Linked DNA regions of Sus scrofa. The protein of the gene in region 1 interacts with the protein of each later gene in a pairwise test. Links are inferred from orthologs where the notes say so. Each region holds a gene or a part of one and is shown in the gene's direction. Other genes may lie near its edges.

Region 1 (16,675 bases):
CCAGCCATTGTCACCTTTTAAATAAGAACTCGTCAATGAATCAATGAGAAGTCAGTATTACCAAGAGGCATTTCCTGTCAGTAAATGATCATTTAGAGTTAAGCAGGCAGGAGGGACTTCTTTGGTGACAGAGGACAGAAGAATAGGGGGGTTAAGGTTATTATAGCATAAAAGAGTTATGTGAGGAGCCCAACAAAAGGACAGTGAGGCAGCTGTCTGAGAAATACTGAGTGTGTTGAGAATTCAGGAGGGCTTCTACTGCATGGGATACAAAAATGGTTAAAAGGGATCCCACGATTTTCTGGGTAGCCTTAACCACTAGCCATAATGGCTTTAAGGCAAATGGGGTATTGCTGTGTCACAGGGTCCAGTAGCTGGCCATAATACACTGAGGGTTGACAGTGATTCCCCTGGTTTTGGGTGAGTACCCTAAGGGCATTCTGTTTGTTTTCATATACAAAAAGGAAAAAAGAAATCTGATAATTGCAATTCTCAAGGGCAGGTGGGTTCCTCAAATTCAACTTTAAGAACTTAAAGGCTATGCTGTTTTGTTCTTCCCATAAGATTGGGTCATGGTTATTATTGTTTACGTAAAGCATACAGAGAGGTTTGGGTATAAGAAAGAAATTTGGAATTCAGTTTTGGCGATAAGCAACTAGCCTGAGAAAAGTTGGTAGTTGGCACTTAGTATTGGGTTTGGGAAAATTTAGGACATCAGGAGTGTATCTGGATCTGTGTATAGCTATTATTCTGATATCAGATGCCCTAAATATTGAACCTAGGAGTTCCCATAGTGGTGCAGTGGAAACGAATCCGACTAGTATCCGTGAGGATATGGGTTCAATCCCTGACCTCGCTCAGTGGGTCAGGGATCCGGCATTGCCGTGAGCTGTGGTGTAGGTTGCAGATGAGGCTCACATCCCGAGTTCCTGTGGCTGTGGTGAAAGCTGGCAGCTGTAGCTCCGATTCGCCCCCTAGCCTGGGAACTTCCATATACCTCAGGTGCAGCCCTAAAAAGACCAAAACAAACAAAAAAACCTGAACCTAGGTTTGGGCAAACTGCAGTTTTTCTTTGGTGATCTTATGTCCCTTTAAGGCTAAAAGCTTTAGCAAGTAGATTTTGTCTTCCTGTGAGGAGGCCTGAGAAGGAGAGCAAAGAAGTGAATCATCCACACATTACAGCAAAGTAGAACCTCTAGGGAACTTAAATATAATCCAGACAGCCTTCAGGATTTCTGAGAAGTAAGAGGGACTCAGCAAAACCCTCACACATTACTGTCCAGGTGAATTGTTTTCCTTCCCAAGTGAGGGCAAAAAGGTATTGGCCAGCCTCTTCAACTGGAATACCAGAGAATGAACTGCAGAAATCAGTAACAGTAAAGAATTTGCTTCCAGTTGGAATGGATGTCAGTAATGTATGGAGGGTTAGAACAACAGGGTGTCAAAGGATAACAGTGTTGTTTACTTGCTCGGAGATCCTGGACAAACCCCCACCCTCAGCCCTTGGGTTTTCTTAGCAGGCTGGTGTAAGGGATAATGAGACCTTGAGCCTTGTCATCTTCTGTTATGAACTTTATGCCTTTAAGGGCTTCCTTACTTATAAAATATTGATTACTTGTGGGAAAATGGATTTGAGGGACCTGTTTGAATCTTGATGGGAAGTATGCTGTAAATTTTGCCCATATCAGTTTGAGATTTCGTTCATAAGGAGGGCAGTAGCTGATTCACTGTGAACAAATGATCAGTGTTTCTAGAATCAGGTCTAGTACTGTCAGGGAAAAAATAAATTAAAAATGTCAAAGGATCATTTAATTCATTTGGTTGGTTATTTTAATGACTGCCATCAAATTCTGGACTCTTGGGAGAAAGAAATTCCAGAATGATGCGCCTCTGAGAAGTCTCAGCCTAATAAATGAATATTAGTCCCTAATACATGAGTGGGGCAGAGAAACTAAAGAGAAAAGGATGTGCAGCTCTCAAAAAGCCTAAAGAAAAGGGAATAGAGTCAGAGATGGGAAACTCTTGAGGCTCAGTACAGATCCCACTATTTGAACTTTTTTAGGGGCTGCTTTATAGTAGTGGGGTTGAGCCCTGAGAATGTGGCTCTGGTATCATTTAGAACTGGAAGAGATTCATTTCCAATTGGAGAAATGTTTCTTCAGGTTGATAGTGAGGGTGGATTGGGAAGAGCCCCTGTAGTTTCTCAGAGCCCTGTCGTTGAGAATTGGGGAGATGTTGGAAAGCCTGGTTAGAGGGCTTAAGGCGTCTAAAGTACTTATGTTTGTGACAGTCTCTTCCCAATGTCCTGGATCTTTGTGATAATAGCAGAAACTAGGAGGGTTTTGGCTTTGTTTAGGAGCCTTCAGTTGCTAGATTTTGCAGATTAAGAATTTTAGTAGTCTTCCTTTCGGGTGATGCGCCTAGAGACTGAGTGTAGTGAATTTGCGAGATCAACTAAATCAGGACTAGACATGGTTTCCCATTCCATCCTGGTCCTTTTTACTAGAAGGGAAAGGACCCAGTTCAGCCCGTTAATAAACAGAGCGAACAGACATCCAGGTGGAATCAACATCGGAAAGAAGACCATATTTTTCTTCTAAAATAGTCTGAAGTTGACTGCACTAGGCGTGAACAAGATCATCAGATTTTTGTGTGCAAGCCTGAATTTTGTTCCAGTCCGCAGGCTTTGGAAAAACTATAGCAATTACCTGATGAAGTCGCCTCATGATTGCTTAAGTGTGATTATATAGTAAGTGAGGGGGCTGGTCTCCACATTGTAATTCTAGAGATCTTTCTAGATTTTCCCAGTTAGCAGTTTTTATCCAATGCTGGGCCTGGTCTTCACTGATAATATGTGAACTAGGTGATATAAGTCAGAGAAACCAGGTTGATAAGCTTGAATGACTGTATTAAATTCCTCAGCAAATCTGTGAGGATCTTCAGTTACTTTGAGAACATTTTTGACTATGGCTTATAGTTGAGCTTTAATCCAGGGAACATAAGGGAGTTCCTGATGTGGCTCAGCAAAAACGAATCTGACTAGCATCCATGAAGGTGCAGGTTCGACCCCTGGCCTCGCTCAGTGGGTCAAGGATCTGGTGTTGCCATGAGCTGTGGTGTAGGGCACAGATGTGGCTCAGATCTGGAGTTTCTGTGGCTGTGATATAGGCCAGCGGCTACAGCTCTGATTAGACCCCTACCCTGGGGTCTAATGTCATATGGATGACACTGGTGCAGCCCTAAAAAACCAAAAAAAAAAAAAAAAATCCAGGGAATATAAGAAATTAAGGGTTGGGAGTTCTTTGGTTCAATCCCTGGTCCGGGAACTGAGATCCCATATCAATACATTCACATCATGGCTGGGAAAAAAAAGAAGAAAGAAAGATATTAGAGTGTAGCCTCTGGATTCTGAGGAGGCTGAATTTTAAAGGGCCAGATGGGACAGGTTCTGGCAATTTCAGAAGAAAAGGGAGTAGAAGGGAGGACTTGTTGGACAAGTTACCAGGCTATTTTAATAGTCTTCATAGTATGTTCTAGCCACCTACAAACACCAAGGTCACCTTCCACCAGCTCCAGGCTTCTTGATTCCTGAGGTCTCTAGCATGTATTTTTACAGTGTTGGGGATCTGGCCTCTTCTGTCATGAATCTCTAGCCTCTCACAACATCATCCTTCACATTTTCATCTAATCTAGGACGTAAGCAATGTGAGTGCCATAAAATATGGAGCTCTCTGCCTTCCCCCTGCTTCTTTCAAGTACAGAGCACCTTCCATCTTTCCTCTTCCCTCGTTTGCTGGTTCAGTGACTCGCTCTGGCTCATGAGCCTTGTAACTGGTACAGTACGAATTTATGTCTCAGCAAATTTACAAATTACTGCATGTAATGGATTTTTTGGGCCGTTTATAAATAATTGAAACCATGAATATTAAATTCTTGAGTGCCAAGGGCCTACTGAATATCAATATTTCATGGAGTTCCATAAAGAACATTATGAATTCCAGCTTTTATGCCTCTTAAAATGTATTTGAGAACCCCTGATCCATGGTATTGATATCTGTGACTTTATCCTCCTCTCTCTTTTGGATTAAATTAACATGATAAACATATTCCTTGTTGAAGATATTAAAAAAATAAACTCTTAACATTTCAAGAAAGTAGAGGGAGTTGAAATAAGATGCTTTACATTTTATATCTTATTTCATTTCTTTGGTTTGCTTTTCATTTTTTAAGGGGTAATATAGTAGATGCTTATTGTACAAAAGTTAGAATATTCAGACACGTGTGAAGTAAAAAGTGAAATTCTTGATTTGCCTCATCCTTTAATTCCATTTCCCTACTGACATTTTGGTTTGCATCCTTCTGAATCTTTTCACTTGGATTTACACAAGTAAATACTCATGTGGATATATAGGGGATTTTTTTTAAGTTAGATAGAATCATAGTATATATATGGTATAATTTTAAAAATTCTTAGAGGCGTTCCTGTCATGGCTCAGTGGAAATGAATCTGACTAGTATACATGAGGATGCAGGGTTTGATCCCTGGCCTCGCTCAGTAAGTTAAGTGAGCTGTGGTATAGGTCACCGATGTGGCTTGGATCTGACGTTGCTGTGGCTCTGGTGTAGGCTGGCAGCTGCAGCTTGGATTCGACCCCTAGCCTGGGAACCTCCATGTACCTCAGGTGCGGCCCTAAAAAGACAAAAAAGAAATTTTTTTTAAATAAGGTCTTTATAAAAATCCTTAGATATATATAGGTCTACATCATCCTTTTCAACCTCCACATAGTGTTTATGGTAAGAATGTGTTTTACTTTATTTAACCATTTCCCTAGTTGTATCCTTTTTCCCGCCTATAATAAATGTGAGAGGACATCGAGTATGATATTTTCCCCTATTGTCCCCAAACTGTTGCTGAGGCCCAATGTTGGAGACAGAAGCACTAAGTATAAGCATCTCATGTTTGAAAGGAGCTCCCAGCAGTGAGAGCCACACCCTTCTCTAGGTGCTTCTTTAAAGGCGTGAGAAGTATTTGCTGTCCCACCCCCAGGCTTTATACAAAGAGAACTGAGAGACAAGAAGGTTTTAAGATTTGGAAGAGTGCTGCATTGATGGGAAGAAGTTATTTTCTCCTTTTCTAAAATCAAGAAGGGATGCACTCTAAGAGAATTTATTGTGGATTTCCTCTTGTGGCTCAGCAGTAATGATCCCAACTAGTATCCATGAGGATGCAGGTTCGATCCCTGGCCTTGCTCAGTGGGTTAAGGATCTGGTGTAGCTGTGAGCTGTGGTGTAGCTTGCAGACAAGGCTCCGATCCTGTGTTGCTGTGGCTGTGGCAAAAGCTGGCAGCTGCAGCTCCAATTAGACCCCTAGCCTGGGAATTTTCATATGCCTCAGATGTGGCCCTAAAAAAGCAAAAAAAAAAAAAAAAAATATATATATATATATATATATATATATATATATATATATATATATATATACACACACACACACACACATATAATGGCATTTTGAGATGCCAACAGGAACAGGGGACTGACATTTTATGGGACCTGTTTAATTAGCCAGAGATTAGCCTACCTACCCCATTACTGCTGAAGAGGGAAGAAGAAAATAGGTTGAGTTAACCCAGTGGGGGACTGCCGGTAGGGAAGTGGGTCAGGATGGCTCCGCCCTACGGTTGCAGTTCCTGGCATGTGTTAGTTGGTCCTGTAGCAGAGGGAGATGAGATTGGGGTGTAACTGAGTGGCTTGGGAGGAAAGAGGGATGGGGCGTAAATGCCACCAGCTGAGAGCCAGCACCAAGAGGCAGCCAGCTGATTGCTTTTCCCATAGCTTATCAATACTATACAAGAACCATGATTAGACCTAGGTTCTTTTCACAATGTTTTAAATCAGTTTCGATAACATTTTAAAGTTGCATACTATTTCTTAAAAAAACTGTCAAAACGCCTAAGTTATTAGTCTAAAAGAAGTCATGCTGATAGTATCTTCTTAAGAAATTTGAACTGTTGGATATTAAATAATACTAAAACTAGCTCTTTCCAGAAGACAGCCAGAATACATGAGTTCATAGTTATACATAGGGGTAAATGTTCACGTCTATCAATTATGTTGTCATCACATCCTGGAAATGGTTACCAAGATGACTGGGGTTTATCTGAGCAGTTTCCACTCCACATCAAATATAAGTAATTAAGAGGTCATTTTTAATAGGGTAAGACCAGGCTTACTCTTTGTACTTGTGGTAAGTACACATTAAAAAAGTTCTGTCTTGCTAGTGAAAATATTTACTTGACTCAAAATATCTTTAATTGGTTAAACTGAAACTGTTATTCATATTACTTCAGAGGAATCATATTTATTTTCTAAGTTGGTCATAACATAGACTTCATGCAAATTTTTTGTGAGGGAGGAGCAATTTCATCATTCAGCTATAAGAAAAAATCGTGATTATATTTAGAGGGTAGAAATAAAATGTTAAAGTAACTTATAGGACATTATAAGAAAACTGCATGATAAGAATTTGACATATTGTTGAACAGGTAATTTAAGAGACATTTAAGGTTTTGGGGGCAAAGGTTATATTTAAATGAAAGCAAATTTATAGTTTTCTGATTACTTTTCACTGATGTTTGACACAATTGTAAAGATTTCATGTAACTGTGAACTCCTTTTCTAATACTTGTAGATTATTTCAAAGTTAACAAACTAGAGACATAGAAAATGGTATTTTAATAACTTTAAAATATGAATCAGGAGTTCCGTCATGATGCAATGGAAACAAATCTGACTAGGAACCATGAGGTTGCAGGTTCCATCCCTGGCCTTGCTTAGTGGGTTAAGGATCTGTGTTGCTGTGAGCTGTGGTGTAGGTGGCAGATGCGGCTCGGATCTGGAGTTGCTGTGGCTGTGGTGCAGGCCGGCAGCTGTAGCTCTGATTAGACCCCTAGTCTGGGAACCTCCATATACCACGGGTACAGCTCTAAAAAGCAAAAAAAAAAAAAAAAGGATAAAAAATTTTAAATATACATATTGCACGAATGTTGTAGTTTCACACTTTTACGCTTAAATTTACATTATTTCTTTTGAAACATGCTTTACTTTTTATTTTTCTGATTTGTCTTATAGGAAATGCCACAATCACGTTTTACAAACACATTACACAATACAGAAGTGAATAAAGTGAAAACTAATACACAGAGAAATGAAACCCCGGTAGAGGAACTTGGTGAGGTTTCTGAACAAAAAATCACTGCTAAGGGAACACCAAATAAAGTCGACAAGGTGAGGAGCTGTGCTGAGAGCTGTTCAAGTGCCCAAGGCACATCCTCCCTGGACGAATCTCAAAGGTCTCATCCTGAGTCCAGCTCTCATCCTTTCAATCCTGAAACTTTGCATGCAGAGGCAACCAGGTCAGTTCCACAGGGTTCTGAAGAAAACAAGCTCAAGAGGACATCTTGCATGTATGGGGCAAACTGCTACAGGTAAAATGAAATTACGGGTAGCATATAATTCCATCATTTCAATAGCAGATAGCTATGCAGATATATGCTATAGTGTGTTAAAGGCCTAATAAAACCCAATAGGCTAAAGGTTAGGAGTTTTTATCATGTGTCTGCTCATTTGTACTTTCTCAATATGCATTCTAGCAAATCCTGCTAGAGGCTTTTAAAATAATAGTGAGGAATTAAAAGTTTCATTTGTGGATATGCTAATTAATGCAAGGATCTGAACTGGGGGATTCAGACTTGAAAACAGAATCACTCAGACCTTAAATACATGCTTATTTAATGTCTTATTTAGATGTTAGAAAGATGGGCTTCAAAAATAGTTGTATGTAAAATAATTCTCAAGAAAATTATTGGTTGTGTTTAGGTATCTTACTATACTGGTGAGGTTTTTTTTGGATTTTGTTTTGTTTTGTCTTTTGTCTTTTTAGGGCCGAATCCGCGGCATATGGAAGTTCCCAGGCTAGGGGTCTAATCAGAGCTATTGCTGCTGGCCTATGCCAGAGCCACAGCAATGCCAGATCCGAGCCACATCTGCGACCTATACCACAGCTCATGGCACTGCCGGATCCTTAACCCACTGAGCAAGGCCAGGGATTGAACCTGCAACCTCATGGTTCCTAGTCGGATTCATTTCCACTGTGCCAAGATGGGAACTCCTTGTTCATATTTTTCTAATGGTGCTTTTGAATCACCATGATGCCTTCTAAAACAACTGAATATATATTCTTTGAATTGATTGGTTACTCCCATACTTCATTTAGTTACCTGGTACCATATTTTTTGATTTCATACTTTGTGAATTCAAACTAATTCCTTATTTGTAGTCTCTTGTTCCTCTATGTTTGTACTGACATGCTGATAAATACATAGCTGTATTTCAGAATTATTTCTGTGCCATTACAGCTCATCAAACCAAGTGTCTTATCAATACATTCTAGTACAGGTTGTCTTTTATGCAATAGCATGCTTATGTCACATATTCTCTTAATTTTTCATTCATGTCTCTCTTTAAAATGCAATGCCATTTAGGAAGTTCCCCTGTGGCACAGTGGGTTAAGGATCTGGGTGTTGCCGCTATTGTGGTGCAGGTTGCAACTGCAGCATGGGTTCAATCCCTAGCCTGAGAACTTTCACATGCTGTGAGTGCAGCCAAAAAAAATGCAGTATCATTTAGTACTTGAGTAACGATATTGTTCAATTTCAACAATTATAATTTATGCATCTATTGACAGTTTTATCTATCTGCTGTGGCCTTAGGTCTGCATGTGGAACATAATTTATAAACTTGGGGAATGGAAGTATAAACTTTCTGTTATTTTGGATTTCTGAAAAATCCTGTTTGATATTTGTATTAGTTTACTGTGGCTGCCATAACAAAATACTATGGACTGGGTGGCTTAAATTGCTGAAATTTATTATCTCACAGCTCTGGAGTCTGGAAGCCCGTGATCAAGGTGCTGGCCGGTTTGGATTCTCCTGCAGTCTCTTTCCTGGGCTTGCAGATGGTGCCTTCTCATGTCCTCACATGGCCTTTTCTCTGTTCATGCACATCCTGGGTGTCTCTTTCTCATCTGATAACGACATCAGTCAGTTGGATCAAGGCCCTACCCTTATGACCTTATTTAATGTGAATTAGCTCTTTAAAGGCCTTGTCTCCAAATATAGTCACATTAGGGGTTAAGGTTTCAGCATATAAATGTGTAGGGTTGGGGAGGTATGACACAATTCAGTCCCTAACAGTGTTGGGCTTGTATTTGTCTTTGTTAAATGTGATTGAGTATTTTATCAAGATTATACTGAATTCATTCATATTTGATGATGATACATGTTAGTTTTAATCAGTCATAGCTTATGAATAGTTATTTTACTTTTTCACTGATTTTCATATGCATAATTAATACCTGAGAAACATTTGCCATTGAAATCTTAAATCTTGAAGACAAAATGTTTATATTTGTAACAAAGGGGGAAAATAACCTATTTTGAGTACTCGTTATGTATGTACATCATAACAATCAGTTAAATGTGTCTTTTCTCCAGCCTCAATGCCATGTCTTAGCTCATACCATGACCTCTCTGGGACAAGTCATCACACTTGCCTTCAAGTTCATATTTTTTCTTCATTGTTGCCTGAGTCATCTGCCTTCAAAAAAATAAAAACAAAGAATAAGAGAGAGAAGACAAAAAAATCTCACAGTATTACTCCCTTTTACAGAATTGTTTGGAGGCTATAGCCTGGCTTTCTTAGCATAGTCCAGAAGGTCCTGAACTCTCAGTAATTCTTTGGATGCACCATGCTGTTATGCTGTCATTTGTCTTTTGAACATGCCGTTCCCTTTTCCTCACTGCTGTCCCACTTCAAGATTCATTCAGTTCCTTTCTGAGTCCTTTTCTGACATGTCCTTTTTAAATTGTTTATCCTCTAGTCTGCAACTTTCTTCTTCATATAAGTTTCTAATACTTGGTATTAGACCTTATATTTAATACCTAATTTTTGATTTATGGTTATTTATATTCATATTCTATCTCTTAATAGAAAATTATTCCTCAAGGGTGGTCTTATTCAGTCCCTTGGTGTTATGCTATTAACTCCCAAGCCTATATCTCCAACACAGATTTCAGATACAGATAATCATCACTTCAAAATCAACCTGTCTAAAGCAGTCACATCTTATTCCTTTGTGAAACAAAATAACAGCAAAACAGCATTTAACTTTGTAGAAACTGTTCCTTCCAAAAAGTTCTTTTTGAAAATTTTACTCTTTTGGGGGTCATATAGTTTTTCTGTTTAATAGCATATGGCTCCATGAAGCAAACTGGGTTTAAGAACTGGACAGAAATAGAAATGTCTCATTAGCATGTAAGAAATTTATACCTTAATTTAAAAACTTGTAGCTTCTATCTACATAAGGTCATATAAATTATCTGAGTTAATAGTATATAAAATAAGATTTTCATCCCTGATAAAGGCGAAGTGTCTTATTGAGGCCCAAACCTCCCACTGAGAACAGTTACCAAAGCTGAACACCCATATTTGAGAACATGGAGGCAGTTGGGACCCTAAGGCTTCTTTTCCCCTTGTGACACTTGCCAGCATTTTAGTGTTTGAGGCTGAGAGCTAAGAGGGCAGGTGGTGTTTTGGGCGGTCTTACGGAGCTTAGCCAACAAAAAGGAGGTCAGTGTTTGCAAAGCAGGAGAGGCCCTATATTGAAATATAGCTGTTTAGCATGGAAAATAGGAACATAATAAAATTGAATATTGACTTATAAAGCATTAATAACTTGTGTTGTATAAAATATTTGTGAAATTAAAATATATGAAAATAGCACAGAAATGGTTGGGAATTAAAGCAAGTTCATTTTGACTATAGTTATGCTACATAAGTGGAAGAATACAGTATTTGTTATTTTATGACTGGCTTATTTTACTTAGGTCCTTAAGGTTCATCCATTTTGTAACAAGTGTCAGAATTTCCTTTCTTTTTAAGGCTGAATAATATTTCAGTTTACATACAAACCATGTCGTGTTTATCCATTCATCTGACAATGGACCTTTGGGTTGCTTCTAACTCTTGGCTATTGTGAATAATGCTAACTCTTTGAGATTCTATGTTCAATTATTTGGGGTATATACCCAAAAATAGAATTGCTGGATCATATGATAATTCTATTTTTATTTTATTTTATTTGTTTTTTAGGGCCACACCCATGGTATATGAAGGTTTCCAGGCTAGGGGTCTAATCGGAGCTACAGTTGCTGGCCTACGCCATAGCCACAGCAATGCTAGATCCAAGATGCATCTGCAACCTATACCACTGCTCACGGCAACATGGATCTTTAACCCACTGAGCAAGGCCAAGGATCAAACCTGCAACCTCATAGTTCCTACTCGGATTTGTTTCCACTGTGCCACGACAGGAACTCCTCTATTTTTAATTTTTTGAGGAACCACCATACTGTTTTCCATTGCAGCTATGTTATCGTTTTATATTTCTGTCAACATTGCACAGAGGGTACAATTTCTCCACATCCTTGCCAATATTTATTATTTTCTGAGTTTTTTTTTTTTTTTTTTTGATGGTGGTCATTTTAATAGGTGTGAGGTATGATACCTCATTGTGTTTTTGATTTGCATTTCCCTAATGATTAGTGATGTTGAACATCTTTTCATATGTTTGTTAACCATTTGTGTATATCTTTGGAGAAATATCTATTCAAGTCCTTTGCTCATTCTTGAATCATGTTATTTATCTTTTGGCATTGAGTTGTAGGAGTTCTTTGTATAGGGATATTAAGCCCTCATTAGGTACATGACTTGCAGATACTTCTCTCATTCTGTATGTAGGTTGCCTTTTCACTCTATTAATTGGATCCACAGAAAATTTTAATTCTAATGTAGACCAATTTATCTACTTTTACATTTGTTGTCTTTGCATTTGGCAAGAAATTGTATACAAATCCAGTGTCATGAAGCCCCCCCCCCATTCTAAAAGCTTTATGTTTTAGGCCTTATGTTTAGTTCTTTGATGCACTTCGAATGAATTTTGTGTGTGGTATAAGGGAAGGGTCCAACTTCATTCTTTTTTATGTCAGTATCCAATTTTCCCAACACCTTTTGTTGGAAAGACTATTATTTCCTTTTGGAATGGTCTTGGCACCTTTGTTGAAAATCACTTGACCATATAAGCCTGAGTTTATTTCTGGGCTCTCTGTTCTCTTCCATGTGTCTATATCCTTGATCTTTATGACAGTACCACACTAGTTTGATGACTGTGGTTTTGTAATAAGTTTTGAAATCAAAAAGTGTGAAACCTCCAACCTTTTGGTCTTTTTTTTCAAGATTGTCTTGTCCATTCGAGGTCCCTTGAGATTCCACATGAAATTTAGGATGGATTTTTCTATTTCTGCAAAAAATATCATTGGGATTTTACTAAGGATTGCTTTAAATCTGTAGTTTGCTTTGAGAGTAGTTTAACAATATTAAGTCTTCCATTCCATGAACATAGGATGTCTATTTATTTGTGTTTTCTGTAATAGAAATTAAACTTGTCTTGTCTTTCACCTCAGGCTTATTTCCTAAATATTTTACTTTTATTTATTATTATTATTATTCTTTCTTTTTGTCCTTTCTAGGGCCACACCCACGGCACATGGAGGTTCCCAGGCTAGGGGTCTAATCAGAGCTGTAGCCACCAGCCTATGCCACAGACACAGCAATGCAGGATCCGAGCCACATCTGCAACCCACACCACAGCTCACAGCAGTGGTGGATCCTCAGCCCACTGAGTGAGGCCAGGGATTGAACCTGCAACCTCATGGTTCCTAGTCAGATTCGTTAACCACTGCGCCATGACAGGAACTCCAACTTTTAAGTGTTATTATAAATCAAATAGTTTTCATCATTTTCTTTTGGGATTGTTTATTACGAGTATATATAAACACAACTGGTTTTTGAACGTTGATTTTTGTATTCTGCAACTTTGCTGAATTAGTTTATTACTTCTAATAGTATACCCAAAGTAGAATGTTCATGGAAGTATTATTTCTGAAAGCCAATAACTAGAATGAATCCAGAAGTCTGTTAATAGTGGAATGGACAGATAGTGGAATGGGCAGTTTCATACAATGGAATGTTACACAGTGATAAAAGTATACTACTGTTACATGCAACAATGTGGAATGATCATTCAAATGGAAGTCATTCTCAGAGTTCTCTTGTCGCTCAGCAGGTTAAGGATCTGGCATTGTTGCTGCAGCGGCTCTGGTTGCTGCTTTGGCATAGGTTTTATCCCTGTGCTAAGAACTTCCACATGCCATGGGAATGGCCAAAAGAGACAAACAAACAAATAAATAAGTCATTCTCAAAAAAGTATATACTATACATTTCCATTTTAATTCAAGAACAGATGAAACTAATATGTTGTTTTATAACATTGCTTCTCAAAATATGGTCCAGAAACCATGGTGAGTCCTTGTCCCCTAGATGCTTTTAAGAAATATTTTGGACCAAAACCATTTTCATAATAATCCTTTATGTACCTTTTTCACTCTGATTCTCTTGCTCACAAGTGTACAATAGAATTTCCCAGAGGCTACATGATTTGTGTTAATGATTGAGTACAGAAGCAGATATGAAAATCCAGGTGTCCTCCATTAATCCAGACATTAAAGAAATGTATAACGTATGATGCAGTGTCTCTATGATTTTTTTGGTAGATGGATATTTACATTAATTGTGTTATTTATGATAATATGTAAAAGGTTTGTTATTTTAAAATAAATGTATTTTAAAATTTCTTATTTTAGTTTCTAATAGGTTATATAACCCACATAAATTAAAGCTCTTGGGAGTTTTAATGGTTTTTTTTTCCCCTCAGACCAAAAAATTTAAGAAACATTGTTTCAGCTGATAGGATAGTGGGTACCTTGGGGTAGTTAAGTGGGTTTAATGATTGGGAGTGGGCATGCAGAACTTCTAGATTGTTGGTAGTTTTCTGTTTTTTATTTTAGCAGAGGATGCATAGGTGTGTTCACTTTATTAAAAGTGTTCAAAAGCTATGTATGCTTATAATATTTACATTCTGTATCCTATATATCCGATATAAAGTACTCTTTGCAAGTTGCCCATTGATATTCATGTTACTAGAAATTTATTTTGCTACTGTAAGACTTCTGTACTGACTAGATATCATGAGCTTTGTTTTTAAGTGTAGCATGTTGGTTCATATTCTGGAATAATCAGATGTGTATTGTTTGATTTCCTGCTATATCCTATTAATTGTTTTTTTCTCTTATATCTAGAAACCTAGTATATTCTATTATTTTTTGACAGTGTATTTGTCACTCTCATAGGAAGAATCCTGTCCATTTTCAACACTTCAGTCACCCTGGTGATAGTGATTATGGAGATGTACATGTCACGTGTCAAGATGAGGCTGATGAGCGGCCTGAATGTCCTTATGGAGCATCTTGTTATCGGTATGTAAACCTGAAGTGTTTTGTTGTACTCTTTTTCTGCTTAATCTCTGTTACTTATTCAGGAGAAACTGCAGGTAAGCCTCTCATTTAAGGCCTTTAACTTTTTAAAATTTACATAGATAATAGATTTTTATTTTGTTAATAAGTAGGATTATAATGTTCTTTTAGATAATTCTAAATTTTTGACATTATTAACCTTATAAATCCTGAAATTGTTCCTCATTTCTAACTTTCAAAATGCAAATTGTGGTTCAGTAGGTTAAGAACCTGACTAATATCCATGAGGATGAGGGTTCAATCCCTGGCCTTGCTCAGTGGGTTAAGGATCCAGTGTTGCCACAAGCTGTGGTGTAGGTTGCAGATGTGGCTCGGATCCCACATTGCTGTGGCTGTGGCATAGGCTGGCAGCTGCAGCTCTGATTCAACTCCTAGCCTGGGAACTTCCATATTCTGAAGGTGTGGCCCTAAAAAAAGAGGGGGGAAAATGCAAATCAGATAATTTAAAAACTGTCATTTCTTCCCCATTATGTACTCGATCTAGACTCCTTAATGTGACAAATCAATTCAGGATGTTATCTCTGCTGCTCTCAATTCCTACCATTCTGCCATTCTTGCCAACACGTGAAACTCAGTTTTAGAAGAAAATAGTACCTCCCCTCCCTCCTTCTTGTGACCATCTGGGCCATCTTGTGACCATCTAGGCCATGGATTGCACAGTAGAATTTATTTAATAAGATTGTGTTTGGTTCTTTCCTGGATCGGCTTCTCTTCCAGACAGTTTCCTGACAGTAAGGACTCTTTTATCTGCAACTTTGTTTAATGAATGAATGAAGTTAAAATAAATAAAACTACCAAAGTAGTGATTCCAGTCCTAGAGAGCTTTAATTGGAATACAGGTTGCTGAACCTACTGGCCTTTTTGAAGTTGTTACTGTTTCTGTGATTTGGTTTTCAATAAGAAGGCCAAGTAAGTTTCTGAGACTGGAAAGAAAATAAAAAAACTTTATGCATTACCATTTGAAAAATAAGTGTTCCATTTCAACAGAATATCCTTCAGATAATAATGAAATTACATTATCATCAATGATGTCAATACATTTGAAAATTTAGGAGAAACAAAATTCTTAGAAAATACAACTTTTAGAAAAGATATGAGAAGAAAAAGAAAGTGGAATAATCCTTTAGCATTAGAGACATTGAAGACATAATTAAGAGATTTACATTAAGGAAATTCTAAGTCCATTTGGCTTTAGTGGATAATTATATCAAACACTTAAGAAACATTCAATTTTTGTATTCTAAAAAAAAAGGCTGTATTCATCAACTCATTTTATGATACAAAAACTCAGCAAGAAAAATAAAAGAATGAAGAAGTACAGGAAAAACTACTTTTGAGCTTAGATGTAAATATCTTTATCAAAAAAAGTTTAAGTGAATTAAACAATGGTTTAAAAGAAAAATATAATATGACCAAATTGATTTTATTCAAAGAAGGCATGGTTTGTTTACTAATAAAAAAGTAGTGTAATTTATCACATATCAGAATAAGTAGAAAATCATATAATCGTTTCAATAGATGATTTAAAAAATAGATAAAATTAATTCATTTATGATTAAAACTCATTTTAATATAGGAACAGAAGAACACATCTTTAATAATCATAAAGCATATCTACCCAAAACAGCAAACATCTACTTAGAAGTGAGATATTAAAATTTTTCTTTCTCATAACAAATGAGACAAGAAGAATACCTTTTATTACTACTTCTATTTAGTATTGTACTAGTGATGTAAGACAGTGCAGTAAGATAAGAAAAGGAAAATGAATGATTATTGGAAAGGAAGAAATAAAAGTTTAATTGTTGACAAATGGTATCATTGTGTAGATAAGAAATGCAGACTAGTCTCTGATTGAATTATAAGTATTGGTAAGTGCTTGCCAAGGTTATTGGATATAAATGTCAATATACAAGGTCAGTCATGTTTCTATATTCCAGAACCATCAATTAGAAAATATAAACTTTTAAAATGTTATATTTATGGTAGTATCAAAAAGTATCACAGATAAATCTAATAACATATATAAAAACCTTTATAAGAAAAAAATTTTTAGGAAAACCTAAGTAATTATAAAGACTGAAATTTTCATGATTAGAAGATTCAATATTGTTTAAATGCCAGTT
Region 2 (16,675 bases), on another chromosome or scaffold:
TGGTCATAAAAGGTTGAGGAAATTTTATACTCCCTCCCAAATAAAAGATTAAAGAATGTTCTTTTAGTTTTTTGAGGATCATGTAGTAAGAGATTTATGCTGTGTGAATAGACAATATTTCTCTCTAGTCTTTCATCATTGAAGAATGTACTTTATTCCTGGATTTTATTTTTTATAATATTTTTTCTTTGCATATGTATAATTTTTAGGGTATTTCTTTAGTTTTGTTTGTTAGTGTCTATTGCTTAAGCATATCTTAATGAAGTACACATGGCCAAAGGATATTCCAGAATTCGTCTTTTGCTTTGAACTAAATACTATGTGTCATTCGCAGTCTCATAAATTTGAGGTCAATCTGGGCAAGATTCTAGAGTGAATTACCAGAAGAACAGTTTTTGAATTAATAAAAAAAGAATCTGTAATCATTAGAGGTGAGAGTAGGATCATCTTAATTTACTTATTTCCTCCCTTCCCTGCTCCCTTCCTTTCTTCCTTCCATGGCATTGCTGGACTGGCAGAGTAGGTAGATTTTACAAAGGATTCTCCTGATACCCTTGTGACTTAAATGGAGGTATCAGCAGTATACCCACCCTTAGTATCAGTAGTAACTGATTTCTAAGAGAAGCTTATTTCTAATGGTAAGCCACAGAAGTCTATTCTTGATCTTGTCCTGCTCAACATTTTACATAAATTATTTTAATACTTAGAAGAAAGGCTTATCAAAATTTTAAATCACAAGGTCAGCAATAGATTATAAATGTGGTGGATCATAATAACAGAATTAGCATTCACTGTAACCTTCACAAGCCAAATATAAACATGAAATTTCATACCTGCAAAAAAATAAACAAATACAAATAGTGAACCTTGTACACATATTTGGTAACATGACTTATGACAAAAGTAATATAGCATTACAGTTGAGAAAGCATAGTCTTTAATATGTAGTGCTGGGTCAATTATATATCCATATAAATATGGAAAGAATATATTTTGAACCTTTGCTGACAGGATGCACAAAAATCACTTCCAGAGGGATTTCAGATCTAAATGTGAGCTATACAATTATACACCTTTTAGATAAACATAAAACATCTTAATTACCAAAGAGTTCTTAAGCAGGATACAAAAAGTATATGTTATAAAAATTTTGATAAGTTTTAACTTCATGAAAATTAAGTCCTTCTTTTCATCCAAAGATACCATTATGAGAGTGGAAAGGTAACTTATAGAATGGAAAAAATATATTCACAGTGCATAATACCTATAAAAGGATTCATATCCAAAATATAAAGAACGAATCAAAAAGAAAGTAAAATATCAGTAAGAACATCAATATAAAATTAAACTGAATAAAAACATTGGCAAGATTTAATAGATAATCCACAAAACAGGATATTAAAATGCCCAGTAAAAGTAGGAAAAGAATTTAGCATTTTTGCGCATCAGGGAAATGTGAATTAAAACCATGATGTAACACCCACCAAAATGTCTAAAATTATAAAGATGAGAAGTGTTGGTAAGAACATGAAGTGATCATAACTCTCATATACCAAGTGTGTAAATTGGTATAAACCTTTTAGAAAACTTTTGGCTGCGTGGTACTAAAACTGAACATGTGCATATCCTCTGATCCAAAAATTCCACTCACGGGTGTACAGCCAACTGAAAAGTCACTTGCTAGCATGTTTACGGTAGCACCATTTGTGAGAGTCAAAACCTGAAAAATGGTCAAATGCCTGTCAGTAGTAGAATGGATAAATAAATTGTGCTATATCCGTATCATGGAATACTGTACAACTATGAAGATGATGTAGAACTCTGAGAAACAATATGAATGTATTTTTCAAACACAATTTTGAACAGAAGAGGCTAGACAGAAAATAAAATGTGCTGTGTAAAAGTACAAAAATACTCAAAACTAATCTGTTAGAATGGTTATTTGAGGACATAGTGACTAGAAGTGGGGTATTGTGAGAATAGGTTCTGTATTGGCAACGTTATGCTTCTTGGTCTAGGTACTGTTTATATGGATTCATTTCATTGCAAAACTAGCCAAGTTGGATTTTAGATATATGCTTTTTTCCCTGTATATAAGACTCAAATATAAAGTTTCAAAATGCAAAAAAAAAAAAAAAAAAAAAAAAAAAAAAAAAAAAAAAAAAAAGACTTATTGGTGTAGGTTGTGATAACTTGATATAACTGATCTCTACTCAAGGGCACTTCTGTCTCAGTGGGCAGAGTGAGTCCTGGGAATCCCATTCTTAGACAAGGCATGCTAGGATATTGCCAACTCTTGAGTTCTAAGATTTTCTTTTCCTCATCTTTGTGTTTATTCTCTCTTCTCATTTCACAGTCTTTCTCCAGTGACTAAGACACTTGGTCAAATTTATAATCACATTCCAGTCCTAAGATTTATTCATAGATCACTCACACAGTTCTTAATGACCATTTTGTTGTTGTTGTGGAGAAAGAGGCTATTGACACGTGGGAAAAATGTTATCTTTATATTATTGGAAACAGTAATTTTTAATCACTTACCTAACTTGGGCAAATCATTTGCCGTTTATGAGTTTCTGCTTATTGGTAAAAATTGTGAGTCAATATTGAATAGAACTATGTTGCTGAGTTTGATGGTTGGCTATTATACAGCTTTTTGTTTTACTTATTTCCTTGGTGCTTTGTATTACTAGGAGAGCAATACAGAAAACACACTGTTTGATGGAGTTTCTTACAAATGTATTAATTTTATCCTTTTATAATAGGTGACCAGAAATGGAGAGAAAAGTAAGCAGAATCTATCTCACTTCTGAACCTGAAATAATTCATTTTCTACAAGTCGCTTGGGAGAAAACACTAGGATCTGGTTTTGTTATTACCCTTACTGATGGGCAGTCAGCATGGATTGGGACAGGTAATATCAAAAGCAAATTTCTTAAAGAAATATTTCAGTAATGTGCTATTCTTCAGCCCTCAGTGATACTTCACATTAAAATGTTTCTTTAATAGATATTGGTTAAAATTAACATGATTGCTTTTACTTGCTATTACTGTCTAATTTACACATAAACTTGTAATATAATGCCATTTTCTATAAGTTACATTAATAGAAGGATAGAGAAATAACCCTTTGAGTCTTATTACTTGAAGTTGGTCAGAGTTTTTAAAATTATCTCTTTATAAAAAAAAAATAAAGAGTACTTTTTACATGTATCTTTTCACAGGACCCCAGGGAACTATTGGGGTGCACAGGAAGAAGGATTGCCTGGGCCAGGACTTGGGAGAGTGGGTTGGTGGTGGTTTTCATTTTATTTCATATACTTATATTGTTTGACTTTTTTTCCAATAAACATGTACTACATTCATAATGCAACAAAACAGAACTCATAGACTAAGACTTTATAAACCAAGATTCAAGTCTGTATGTGGGATTTTGGCTATTATTATTTATATTTGAAATAGACTTTTGATTTTTTCTTTTTTTTTTAATGGCCACATCTGCAGTATATGGAAGTTCCCAGGCCAGTGATTGACTCCTAGCTGCAGCTGCGACCTTCTCTGGAGTTGCAGCAGTGCTGGATCCTTTAACCACTCTGCGGGGCTGGGGATTGAACCCACACCTCTGAAGTGACCCAAGCTGCTTCTAGACTTTTGATTTTTAAAATCGTTAGTGTAATCTTTAAAAAAGCCTAAAGGCCCTGAAATCATTTATTAACATTACAAGTGTAAAGTCAAAATATTTAGAATTATGTTTTACTTATATAGCAAAGTTTTAATCTACTTTGAAAGTATTTTATTGAAAGATTTTATGTTTATGCAATAGTCATTTCTAGAGTTAATGTTGTAAATGATATTTTAGGTAGAATAATTTTGTCATGTTAATTTATATTCTATTTGCCTATTTATCATCTATCAACTTTTAAAATATTTCTCCAAAATTTGTTATTGTAATTATTATATCCCCTTTTAAAATCACAATGCATTGTGAAGTGTTGCTTTTTCTTAAATGGTACAGATTCTGTTATACAAAATAGTCAAACTGCATTTATACTTGCAGAGTTTTTGAGTTTTTTTCATTCATTTTTCATGACAGAGCAAGGAATGTTGTTACAAGTATTGTAAAATAAAGAAATTTTTAGGATAATGTTTTCAGTAACTGTTGTGGTATCTATTTAAGTTGCGAATTTCTACGTAAGAAAAATCAGTTATTGGTTGGTTGTTGCAATGCAAAATAGAGGAAAATTTGTCAGGTTAGTTCTCTGTTTCCTGGTGAAGGTGTATTCAAATGACAGTAGCTCTGTTTGGGGGTGAATAGTATACTGGATTGAAGATCATAGCAGTAAGTTAATACCATTTTTCTAGGAGAAAAGAGCAGTTCCAATAGCACAGCCCAGGAATCAGATCCTAGGTGAAATGGTTGGTTGTATGTAAGGAATACTGTATTTATAACATAGGTATTTCCAGTTAACAGGTGGCATATTCTGTATAATGAGAGGTTATGGTCAGAGGAAAGACCTTGCAATGTTTTAAGAGCCTTACTTATCAAAAGAAAAGATTAAATTTTAATCTAGTTAATTAATTTCATTCACTAAGGCAAAAAACAGTAAAAATATGTTGTTTGAATTTTTGTGTCATTAAGGATCAGGAAAAGAAAACCAGTACTGTGATTAACTCTTAAATCTTAATTTAACCAGAAATTTAAGTTGATTTTACATTTATGGAACATTTTGTTTATTTCATACAAAATAACTGGCGGTTGTCCTTAATATTATTAATAATATTGTTTTGCTAGCCTAGATCCATTGAGAGCAAGGGACAAATCTGATTCGTCAACCACTGTTCATAATTATCTAGACCAGTACGTAGGACATATGTGCTCAATGGATATTCTTTGAAAAACAATCAAAGGATGCCTGAAATATATAAAACTAGCTAAGGAAAAAAGAGAAAGTGAAACCATCATTTTTAGAGCTAGCGTATTTTTTAATGAAAACTTCAGTTTCATATTTACTTATTGTTGGCATTGATCATAGATGCAGTATGTTTTACCGTTTGTTTTTTAGCTAATGATATATAGTGTGATAAAAATATGAAATATAGTGTGATCAAACTTCTGTATCCTTTGGTGGGTTGTTAACATTTGAGCTTGCTATTTTATACAAGTTTTCAAACAGAAAATTTTATAGTACACTAGATATGGTCATTTGTTCTCAAAGACATTGAAGTTTTAGATCTCATGAATGTTTTATACTTTTTAATTATTCACTTCTATATTCTTGTGTAAATTTCAGGGACAAAATATGAAGCCAAATAATATCATATTGTTTCCATGTTAAGGCTTATACATAAATCTAATTTGGTTCGGCACTTTACAAATAGACAATAACGTGATTAAGAACATTAAAACAATTAAATAATTGAAACATGAAAATGAATTTCCTTCCTATACCTCATCCTGTTTTTTTGTACAGGTTTTTCATTGCTGCAACCTTCAATTTGGATAATTTTTTTTCTTTTCATTTCAGTGAAATTAAAAGGATGTGGGGTTCTTTTTAATCTCCCACACACTAAACTCACTGATTTCTTTTCCATTAGCAATGTTTTATCTAATGAATGTTTTGGGGTCTAATTATCATGTGGTTTATCATCACTTCGACATTATAGAGGGTTATATAGGGTAAAGTCACAAAGTGGGTTAGTGATCGATGACTGTTATGTGACTTTCATAAGAATCACAATCAGCAGTAAGAAACTTGTATCACCCTTTTCTGGAGCAGTTTAAAAAAAGTTCATTGAAGTGTAAATTAAGCTTTGTTAATGCATTTAGTTTCAAGTAATTATATCCACTTACATTTGTTTTAAACATTGATGTACTTGGTGACTTTTATGGAGATTATGTGATAGAACTCAGTAGAAAAATGATTTTTTTCTTTTGGTTGCACCCCTGGCATTCAGAAGTTCCCAGGCCAGGAATCGAACTCACACCTCAGCAGTTCAGCAGTGACCACAGCCATAGCAGTGACAATACTGGATCTTTAACCCCCTGAGCCATCAGGGAACTCCCCAAAAAAGGATTTTTAATGAATGAAGTAATAAAGTGGGTCCGTGATTTGGTGACTTCGTAAGTCTGTGTGCCTTCTCAGCTCCACCACAAACTTAGGATATACAGTCTTTTGATTCATTATACATAAGGATCCAAAATAAAGAATATTCTTTTCTTATTTACATCTCTACCTACCTACAAATAGTGTTAAAATGATGCTTTCTTGGCTCCTACCTGTCCAAGAACAAGTAATTGTATTTTGGTCACATTGGCCTGCTCACTTTTTTTTTTTTTTTTCCTTCCCATTTTTTTTTCCCCATATTTTGTGGTTCAACTGTATCCTTACTGAATTTCTTTACTTCCATTGCTTTTATCCCTGGTCACTGAAGTTTTTGGAGCATTGAAGGCTTCCAACTGTGCTTCTTCCAGCACAAAATTCAAAACCAGTGACCAAATTGTTTTGCTAGGATTGAACTTCTAAATAGGCAGTCAAAATTTCACTTACAGGAAATGATTAAGTAAGCTTTTTTCTTAAACCAACGCTTTTTTTTTTTTTTTTTTTTGGTCTTTTTGCCTTTTCTAGGGCTGCTCCCACGGCATATGGAGGCTCCCAGGCTAGGGGTCAAATCGGAGCTGTAGCCGTTGGCCTACACCAGAGCCACAGCAACGTGGGATCTAAGCTGCGTCTGCAACCTACACCACAGCTCACAGCAACGCTGGATCCTTAACCCACTGAGCAAGGCCAGGGATCGAACCCGCAACCTCATGGTTCCTAGTCGGATTCGTTAACCACTGTGCCACGACAGGAACTCCCTGACACTTTTTAAAAAAGTATTATTAGAAAGAATTTCCTATTATATATATATTTTTTTCCCTCAGGAATGAAGTATTTCATAACATTTAAAAAATTTTTTTAAATTACTCAAATGAATTTATCAAGTATTTCGTAACATTAACCAATGCAGCATTCCCAGATGGAGTAACAGAAGTGTAATATCGAAGATAATATCTAAAAGGGTATCTGCAAAGATATCTAAGATGTCAGTACTTGAATCAAGGTTCCATAAGGCTGGTATTTTTGTCTGTCTAGATATTGTCTCTCTGATGCCTAGAATAGTGCCTGGCACATAGTAGATGCTCATTAAGCATTATGCAATAAATGAATTGAATCAATAGATTCTATTAAATATTTTCATAAAGGTATCTTTTCACTTTAATAAAATTTAGAGTACTTTCTACTAGCCGTTTTATCAGTAGATATACTTTCTTTTGTGTGTTTCCTTATAGATTTTTCTATAGTTGCATTAAAGATTGTTTCTATAGATTATTTTCTATTTTTCAATGAAATAATTTCTCTAGGTCCTTATAACTCTTAAAACATTTACAAGCCAAAAATATGAAATTATTCCTTAGAGAGGAAGTGATTGCCTTCTTAGTTTTATGTTATTTTTTACGAGCTAATAGGGTATTTGAAATGTCAGTAGATTTGATAGTAGTGATCATCTTAAATATGCGTATGCTTCAGAGAGAGAAAAAATATGTGGAAGTATTTAGAAGTTGTAGAATCTCACAAGAATATTTTTAGGAGTTCCTGTTGTGGCTCAGCAGTAACGAACCTGGCTAATATCCATGAGGACATGAGTTCTATCCCTGGCCTCGCTCAGTCAATTAAGGATCCGGCATTGCCATGAGCTGTGGTGTAGGTCACAGAGGTGGGTCAGATCCCATGTTGCCGTGGCTGTGGTGTAGGCTGGCAGCTATAGCTCTGATTCAACTCCTAGCCTGGGAACTTCCATATTCTGTGTGTGTGGCCCTAAAAAAAACAAAAATAAAAAGAATAATTTTATACTTACCTTTTTTCAAAGGCTGTGCTGAAGCCCATATTTCAGTATGAGAACTTATCAAATATTGATCATGAAAAATATATGGATGTATTCCAGACTCTCTTCCTCATCGTGGGGCTTCTAGACACTTGATAACATATGGAGCAAAGTTACAAAAGAAGTTATATTTTTAAGAAATCTTTAATCAAAGTTTTATTATTTTCTCTACTCTTTCATACCAATGCATTTTTTTAATATTATGAAAGGAATTTATCTAGTGTCCCATATCTTTGCTTTACCTTAAAACAGAACAACCAGAGAGACATACATACCAATCTCAGTCTTAGCACTTAGCTACTTCATGACCCGAGGCCATTAATTGATCTCTTGGAGCCTCAATTTTATCATTTGCCAAATGAGAATCTCTATCTTTCACTGTTATAAGGAATAAAATAAATAAATGTAACCTTTAAATATAAAAGTTTAGATCCATGTGGATCTTGCATCATTGTGGTAGCCTGAGTTGACACAAGAACCAATCAACCATTCTGAAGAAATATTAGGTTAGATCTTGTGATTTTAAAAGCAAACAGACATTCACATTGCAGCTTTAATGGAAGGAAGGGAAGTCCCTAGGTGCCATGTGTGAAGAGGTATCTGAAAATCAAAATGGTTAATGGGAACTCAAGAACTATAGGTTCATGGGATATCTGAAGTAGGTATACATCTAAATGACTGTGACTGTGGTATCTAAGTGGAGTGGCATGTTGAAATTTTAAGCTTCTTAAAGAATTGGAGCTGAGCTCTCAAGATAAAGAAACCTGGAGGTGAGCCTGTTAATGAAGTCATCTTTAAAACCAACCAACCAACCAACCAACAGAACAGAACGAGAATGTGTCAGCTCCCAGAAGAAATGGAATTAATATCCTAGGAACTATGCATAGATACTAATCTCAACGGGATCTTAAATATGTTTAAATCTTTCACATATTTAAAGGAAAGGTGTGGTAAGGACAAAATATTATGAAAAAGAAATTAAGAGAGTATCTAAAATTGAAAATATTATTGAAGTAAAAATCTCTATGGATGAGTAAAACATCAGCTTTAAATGTACGTAGATGAGAGAACTGGAAGCCAGAAATGTGATATATGTCGTAGAGGAGACAGTAAATATTAATTCCTTACCCTTTCCTTCTTCATCAACTCCCTTCGTCCACTGTTTTTGTTTTTAGCACATGAGAAGATGAGAAGAAGGAATTCTGTTTTTACTTTGACTGCCCATCTGAATAAGAAATAGCCTGTTTAATCCCTTTAATAGTTGAGGCAAGGAAGAAAGTTGTAAAATACTGAGTTTATTAGTCATGATAGGAAATAACTTCTCTGCTGTGACTTCGGAGCAGGTATACAAGATGGCTGTTTCTGTGATAATTCATAATGCATTTGTATCATCTGAGGACAGAAAGAATGCTTTTCAGATGAGATTTGAGACTAAGTCAATGTATTTCTCAAAAATTAAGAAATAACTTAAAAATGTGTGATGTGGGGATTGATTGTACTTTTTGTTTAAATTTCTGTTATATACGTACATAAGTAATGTTATGTAAGTAATTAGTAGCAACCAGTAAACATTTATTCTTATGTTTAGAAATTTATTTTCACATAAATAAAACTTTTTAATTAATATTTCTCATAGTTTCTGAATCAGAGATTTCCCAAGAAGCTGATGACATGGCATTGGAAAAAGAGAAATATGTTGATGAACTGAGAAAAGCATTGGTGTCAGGAGCAGGACCAACTGACACATACAAGTTTAATTTTTCAAAAGACTCTTGTCAATTCTCCTTTGAGAAGAACTTGAAAGATGTTTCAGTAAGTAAAACTTTCCATAATACTCTTAAGTGGTAAAATGTCAGAGCACTTATTGGCTTATTGAGAAATTATTTAAGTAACTAGCATATTATTCCCAGAATACCTCAGAAACAAAAGTTTGAAAAGTACTTGATTTCCAAGTTGGAAGAATGCTTCAAAGTTATAGTTATTAAATGCTTTATATTAATGAATTGTGAAAAAAATGTTGGAAAACTATTTAATTTTTAAATCTTTAAAACTAAATATTATTGAGATAATCACATGAATGAGCAGTTCTGAAAAGTGCCTTCAGAATTTTCAAATCATGAGACAAGGTTTATTGAAATAAGTTTGGGGAAATACTGATTTGAAGAAAGAGAACAATATATTTTTCTTTGCATATTTATTCTTTTTTCTTCTTCATCAGAATGTATTTGAAATTGCAAAAAGGTATTAAAATAGAAATAACTTTCAACACAAGCTTTCCAAAGCTTGCTTGCTGTGCAGACAAAGATATTTGCTCCTGTCCTGTTCAGTTTCTCTACCATTCAGATTAAGGTTTATTTATTTAAAGTTTAGTACTTACTGTTTGTATAGTTTATCCAAGTTTATGGTATAATTGGTGGTTGAATTATTTGCTTTTTGTTAGTGTTTATCAATCAGATATGAGCTCTAAAGCAAAAGAAAGGGAAGGAAATCTTTACTACATTAAGTTTAGAGGCAGTTATTGATGGTTTGTGCTGGAGCTAAATTGAGTTCAAAAATTTCTTCTTTAAAAAAAAACCTCTTTAATTCAGAATGATTAAAGGGATTTTACCAATTGGAGAAACATTTGAAGCCACAGATGGAATCATTACTTTCAAATGTATATTTTCCTATAGAGAATAATACAGAAAGCCTGGCTTCAGTAATGATTTCTATTTAAAACATGCATACTTATTCAACTTAGCTGTCAACTTATGTAAGTTTCAATATGTTGAGGTCCTTAAGATGATAATTTAAAATAAGGTAAGTAAGGATTGAACTGACTACTGAAATTTTGTTATTTATCACGAAGTGTTCTTTGCTATGGTTCAAGTATAATCAAATGATGTTATATACTACACAACTCTTGATTCTAATATTTTGAAGCAGATCATTGTCAAGTTGGGAGTAATGCCATTTCCCACTCAACAAGCATTTGTATATAGTAACTAACATTATTTCATGTGGCTAGATTCTAGTCTTCATCCGTTTTGAGTGTACTGGTGCATAACAAGTTCTAAGTTTGAGAGGTACCTTTTGGGAACTTGAGAGCCTTTTGGTATCTTTGACATGATGAAAAGGAGGGTTTGTTTGGTGCATTGAGTGTGGATGGAGTACTTACCATGCCTGACAGTACATCTGATTTTGCTGCCTTTGTGAAGAAAGAATTTAAAGTGTTCGTGACTTAAGTCTTTTACAATTGGCTTGACATGTATCAGCCTCAAAAACTGTGGCAATGATCCTGAAAGATACTCTGCTTATTGCCCTAAAATCAGTCAACTTTATCGCAGCCAAAGCCTTGAACTCCCTTTTCAACAGGTTTTCTTTCTCAAGAGATGCTCACAGAATAAGAGATTACCAGTATTGCAGAAGCGGGTTGGTTCCCTAATGGATATGTCCCAAAGCACTACAGTGCAGTTTAGATAGCAGCCTCATTATTTCTTCATTTATTAATTTGCCTATGAGGAAAAGAAAATCTACTCTGAGAACAGTTTGATGAGGAGGAGTTCATGCCTTGGCTTACTTGAGAGAGAGTTTTAGATATTTGAGTAAGGTAAAACGAGTTTGAGGTGCTGCAATCAGCCTTACGGATGTACATGAAAATCACAAGTTTTTATGGCCAAACTTCCCATGGTAATCTTCTAGTGCTTCAGAAGATGTTTTTGCAAATTGAATTTCAGAGTGACAATATCTTGTAAATTCATCTGCTGGCAAAAATATTCTGACAGTTGGAAACATGGCAGAATACTTTTTATGGCTACTTTTGCTTTGGATGACCTAAAAATTTAAAAGGAGTTTGTAATCCTTTCCTTGATGTAATTTAATTGTTGCCAAAAATGACCTCCCACACTTAGAAGAAAAGAGAAGAATGAATGTACATTCAACTCAAAAAGTTGTAGTGAATTTTGTTGTTTGTTGACATGAGGTTATTCTCCCATGGGAAAGTATATTCTTTGAGTTCAAAATACATTTGCTAACAGTCTCATGCCTCTGAGAGTCAAGGATTTTGGGCATTTGTTGCCATCAATTCAAGAAGTTTTGTATATGTAATTCTGTGTTGGAGATCACTGCATAATTTGAATATTTTGAATATTCAAGTCATATAAGACTTATTTGAAACTTATATTTGTATCACAATTTTTTCTTTTTTCTCCCTATTTCTTAGAAAGGAATTAACTGCTAACTTTTATATTCTAAAAGACCTGATTTTTAGAAATACTGTCTTGTGTTTTATCAGAGTGAAAGAATTGTCAATTTCCAAAGCAATGAAATCCTTAATACGTGTAATGTTTATGTTGATATTTACATGCATTTTTTTCTAGAGATGGAGTCCATAATTTTTATGAGATTACTTTTTAACTCATAATACCCCCCAATTTTTTTTATGCTCCCTTTGGCTTTTCCTAGATGTTCTCATAGATGTTTCTACTTTAGCTTAATTTTCATTGGAATAAGTATTGAATGGCCAGCTAGATGCTAGTAGTTCTTTTTCTCTATAGAGTACAACCTCTGAGATCCTCCTGTCACATCACCAGGACACTTCATTTGGCAATAGATTGTTATGAATGAAAGTGTACTTTGGTGCAAACATGTGGAAGTCATTATCTCTTCACTATAAGTACTGTCACCCACTCAGAAGAGTATTCATGTACTTTGTGTTACTCTTTTCCCTCCACCTTTCACAGTTCTTATGGATTTTGCAGTATATACTTTGTCATGCAAATAATACATCTTAATTAACAATGTCTTCCTCTTCCGCTTTCATAATTTGCTCTCTTCCTTCAGAAAATATTTTCATTCATGAGCCACATAAAAAAGGCTTAATTATTTTTTAAGAGTAACCCTGGGCTTATCATTTAGTTTGCTCACACTTCTGTTTTCTCATCTATGAAGTTTTAAAGTGATTACTTGGATTCATTCTAGGTCATCTAACATACTGTAGTTTTATATTTCTAAAAATAGTCCTAATGAGGAAAGCCATGTGGTTTGAAGGAAAATTAAACATGATAAACACACATACAAACATACACATGAGAATCAGCTTTAGGTCTGTATTAGAATTATAATAAAATCTTTTTGCATTTTTGTTTCCTTCCTCTCCCTCCCCCACTATCAGATATTGGCTTCAGATATAGTATAGACTGAAAACTTGATGACATACATCATGAAGGCAAAGATCCAAATAGGCAGACCTGGTTAAAACAATGGTTTTATAATGTGGAGGTTCAGGCTTCTTTAACTATGTTGCCCTGCTCACCTTGCAGGCAATAAGACTGAGTTAAGAGAAAATAAAGCACATGTGCATTTTCTTTAAGACCATCACCTTAATATTGCATTCATTACTTCTGCACATATCCCATTGTCCAGAACTAAGTCCCAGGGCTTCGCATAGCTGCAAGGGAATCTGTGAAGTGGGATCTTCAGCTGCATCCTCTGACCAGAAATTTTCATAGCTGTGTAAAAAGAGGAAGGTGGATATTGAGGGACAATAGGCAATCTCTGCATGTTAATATTTGGGAGAGACTGAAGTGTCCATCAGTCATTTAGAAGGGCTCACTTGTATTGTTACAGGGGTCTTTGTCTAGTCAAATAATTGTTTCAGTCGTAGTTTAAAAAATGTTACAACATGTAGTGAGATATATGATAGTTTTCTATTTTACTCTCTGTAGTAACCTTTTAAGAAAAATAGAAAATGCATTCTAAGTTCAAACAGCCTTCTTACATTTATGTAATGTACGTTTTTCAGATATATAAAAATGAGGTAAAATAAGTTAGCCAAAAGCAGTCAAAGTTGTTTTTAAAAACAGCAGTCCAAAATCCTATATTATTGCCATGTGTCCCTGTGGTTTGGGGGACTTTGAAATCAACTGGGTATTTCCAGATGAAATATCAGAATTGGAGCCTTTATCATGGTATTCTGCCAAAGACTTTGTCAAAAGTAGTAATGATTTTCAGGTTTGTGGGAGTATGGGTTGCAAATGTGTTGCTTGAAGGCCTCAAAAAGAAATTGTTGTATTTTTTATTTCTGTGATAAAAGTATTTGTATACATCTACCATTTTTGTATTAAACCCTTTGTAATTCCTTACCTTTTGGTATATGGAAACTAAATCAGTAATGTAAGTGGTGCAGAAATTGTGCTCAAAGTATGTATTTTGTAGTTATGCCATAGACCAGACCGTAGAATTATTACTTTAAAGAAAGATTAGTTTGTAGTTACAGTTTTGTCTTTGGGAACTCATTTTCTTTGTCTTATGTTGTTCTGCTTTGATTTAAAATGTTTTCTTGTTTTATAAGAAACATCTCAACAGGATTATATTTTAATTTGTTCAGTTATTCCAGGATTTTCAGAAAAGAAACAATTTAGTGAAAACAGAAGTTAAAGGTAGCATGTAAACACCATACTCTAAAAGAACTTTTGATTGGTAATAATATTAATTTGTGCTTATTTTCAGTTAATCCCCTTTTAATATATGCTCTCACTTCATCATGTGGACTTGGCATTATCACTATTTTTATTTGAGGAAACAGTTGCTGAAAGCATAAGCAAATTCCTTAGGAAAGCAGAGATACTAAGTTAGGTAGGGTAGAATCCAGACTTCTGCCAAAATAGTTTTTTTTTTTTTTTTTTTTCTTTTTAGGGCCCTGCCCATGGCATATGAAAGTTCCCAGTCTAGGGGTCAAATCGGAGCTACAGCTGCCGGCCTATGCCACAGCCACAGCAACGTGGGATCCAAGCCACGTCTGTGACCTACACCACAGCTCTCGGCAACGCCAGATCCCCAACTCACTGAGTGAGGTCAGGGATTGAACACACATCCTCATGGATCCTAGTTGGGTTCATTGACCACTGAGCCACAAAGGGAACTCCCAAAATAATTTTTTGTTTGTTTGTTTTGGTGTAATATATATACAATAAATGTGAAGTTTTCATCACTCCAGACAGTTCCTTCATGCTTCTTTGAAGTCAGTCCCAAATTACTCCCTCACCTCCCTCCCTGTCCCTGCTCACTCTCCAGTCTGCAGGCACCCACTAAACTCCTCTTTGTCACTCTAGATTAGCTTTACCTGTTTTAGAATTTCATACAAATAGAACTGGACAGTATATACTCTTGCATGTAACTTTACATGGTATAATGTTTTCGAGATTCATTATTATGTGTTGTGTCAACAATTCATTCCTTTTAATTACTTAGTAGTATTATCATATCGATGTACCACATTTCTTGAGCTCTGTTGAAAATCCCTTAACTATATACATATGGGTCTATATTTGGACTCTGTCTTTTTCCACTGATCTCTTTATCTATCTCTGTGCCAACCTCAGACTGTCTTGGTAACTTAGGTTTATAATAAAGAATCAGTTTGTCACGTTTTACAAAAAAGTCTGCTGAATGCATTGAATTTACAGAATTAACAATATTGAGTTTTCTGACCAATGAGCAAAATATATCTCGCCATTTGTTTAGGTCCCCAGTGGTTCTAAACTGGGGGAGATTTTGCTCTTCCAGGAACATGTGGCAATATCTAGAGTCATTTTTGATTGTCACAGCCAGCAGCTGCTGCTGACATTCAGTGGGTAGAAGACCAGGAGGCTGCTAAACATCCTTCAGAGCACAGGACAAGCTTCCATGACAAAGAAGTATCTGGTCCAAAATGTTAGTAAGTGTGAAGGTTTAGAAATACTGATTTATATGTTACTCTTTAGTCACTCAGCAGTTGGTAGTTTTCACAGTATGGATCTTGTAAATTTTTTGTCAGGTTTATCACTTTGAAGTGAAAGCTGAGGTCACTGATTTGAGACCTCTCTTCTTACCTCATTTAGGTATTTTAGGATCTAAATTTCCTTTCAGGTGTGCCTTAACTTCATTTCACAAATTTTGGTATGACCATGTTGTCATTTTCATTTAAAGTATTTCCTAAAATTTTCCTTTAGATAAAATTTGCACTCGTGAGTTATTTGGAAGTTTGTAATTAACTTTCCATTTTTTTGATATTCTAGATATTTTTCTGTTGTTGCTTTTTAATTTAGTTCCATTGTTGTTAGAAAACTGTATGTGACTTGAATCATTTTAAATTGATTTGTACTTATATTAAGGCCCTGAATATAGTCTCTCTTGTTCAATGGTCTGTGTGCACTTGAAAGATATATTTATTCTCCTGTTGTTTGGTGGATATATATGTCAGTTAGATCAGGTTGGTTGATCTTGCTTAAGTTTTCTATATTCTTATTTTCTATCTACTTGCTGTACCAATGACTGAGAATATATTCAAATCTATAACTGTAATCATGAATTTGTTTACTTCTCCTTGAATATTTTCAGGTCTTCATGTATTTTGAATCTTCATTATAAAGTTTAAAACATTGAGATTTATCATGTTCTCTTGATGATTTGACCCATTTATCATTCTGAAATGACCCTCAAAATCTTAATATTCTTTCATCTAAAACCTGCTTTCAGATTTCTTTTGATAGGAGTTGCCATGGTATACTTTTTCCATCCTTCTGCTTTTGACTATTTTTGTCGAATTTAAATTTTGTCCAATTTAAATTTGATTTCTTTTAAGAAATATGTAGTTGTATTTTTCTTTTTTAATCCAGTCTGACAATCTGTGTCTTTTAATTGGGGTGTTTAGGGCATTTACATTTTATATAATTATTGATAATGATGTTTTATTTATTTATTTATTTATTTATTTATTTTTGTCTTTTTTTTT

The links.
Region 2: the proteins of APLF (region 1) and XRCC4 interact in binary tests that used the Homo sapiens proteins (3 or more experiments, as listed by UniProt). The link is inferred for Sus scrofa from reciprocal best matches to the Homo sapiens genes APLF and XRCC4.

What each region holds. Positions count from the first base shown.
Region 1 is NC_010445.4:73,779,060-73,795,734, reverse strand, and holds part of APLF (aprataxin and PNK-like factor), read left to right. Parts: intron 1-7,131; coding exon 7,132-7,487; intron 7,488-14,366; coding exon 14,367-14,492; intron 14,493-16,675. UniProt on the Homo sapiens protein: Histone chaperone involved in single-strand and double-strand DNA break repair.
Region 2 is NC_010444.4:91,381,626-91,398,300, forward strand, and holds part of XRCC4 (DNA repair protein XRCC4), read left to right. Parts: intron 1-2,765; 5' UTR 2,766-2,775; coding exon 2,776-2,914; intron 2,915-9,559; coding exon 9,560-9,735; intron 9,736-16,675.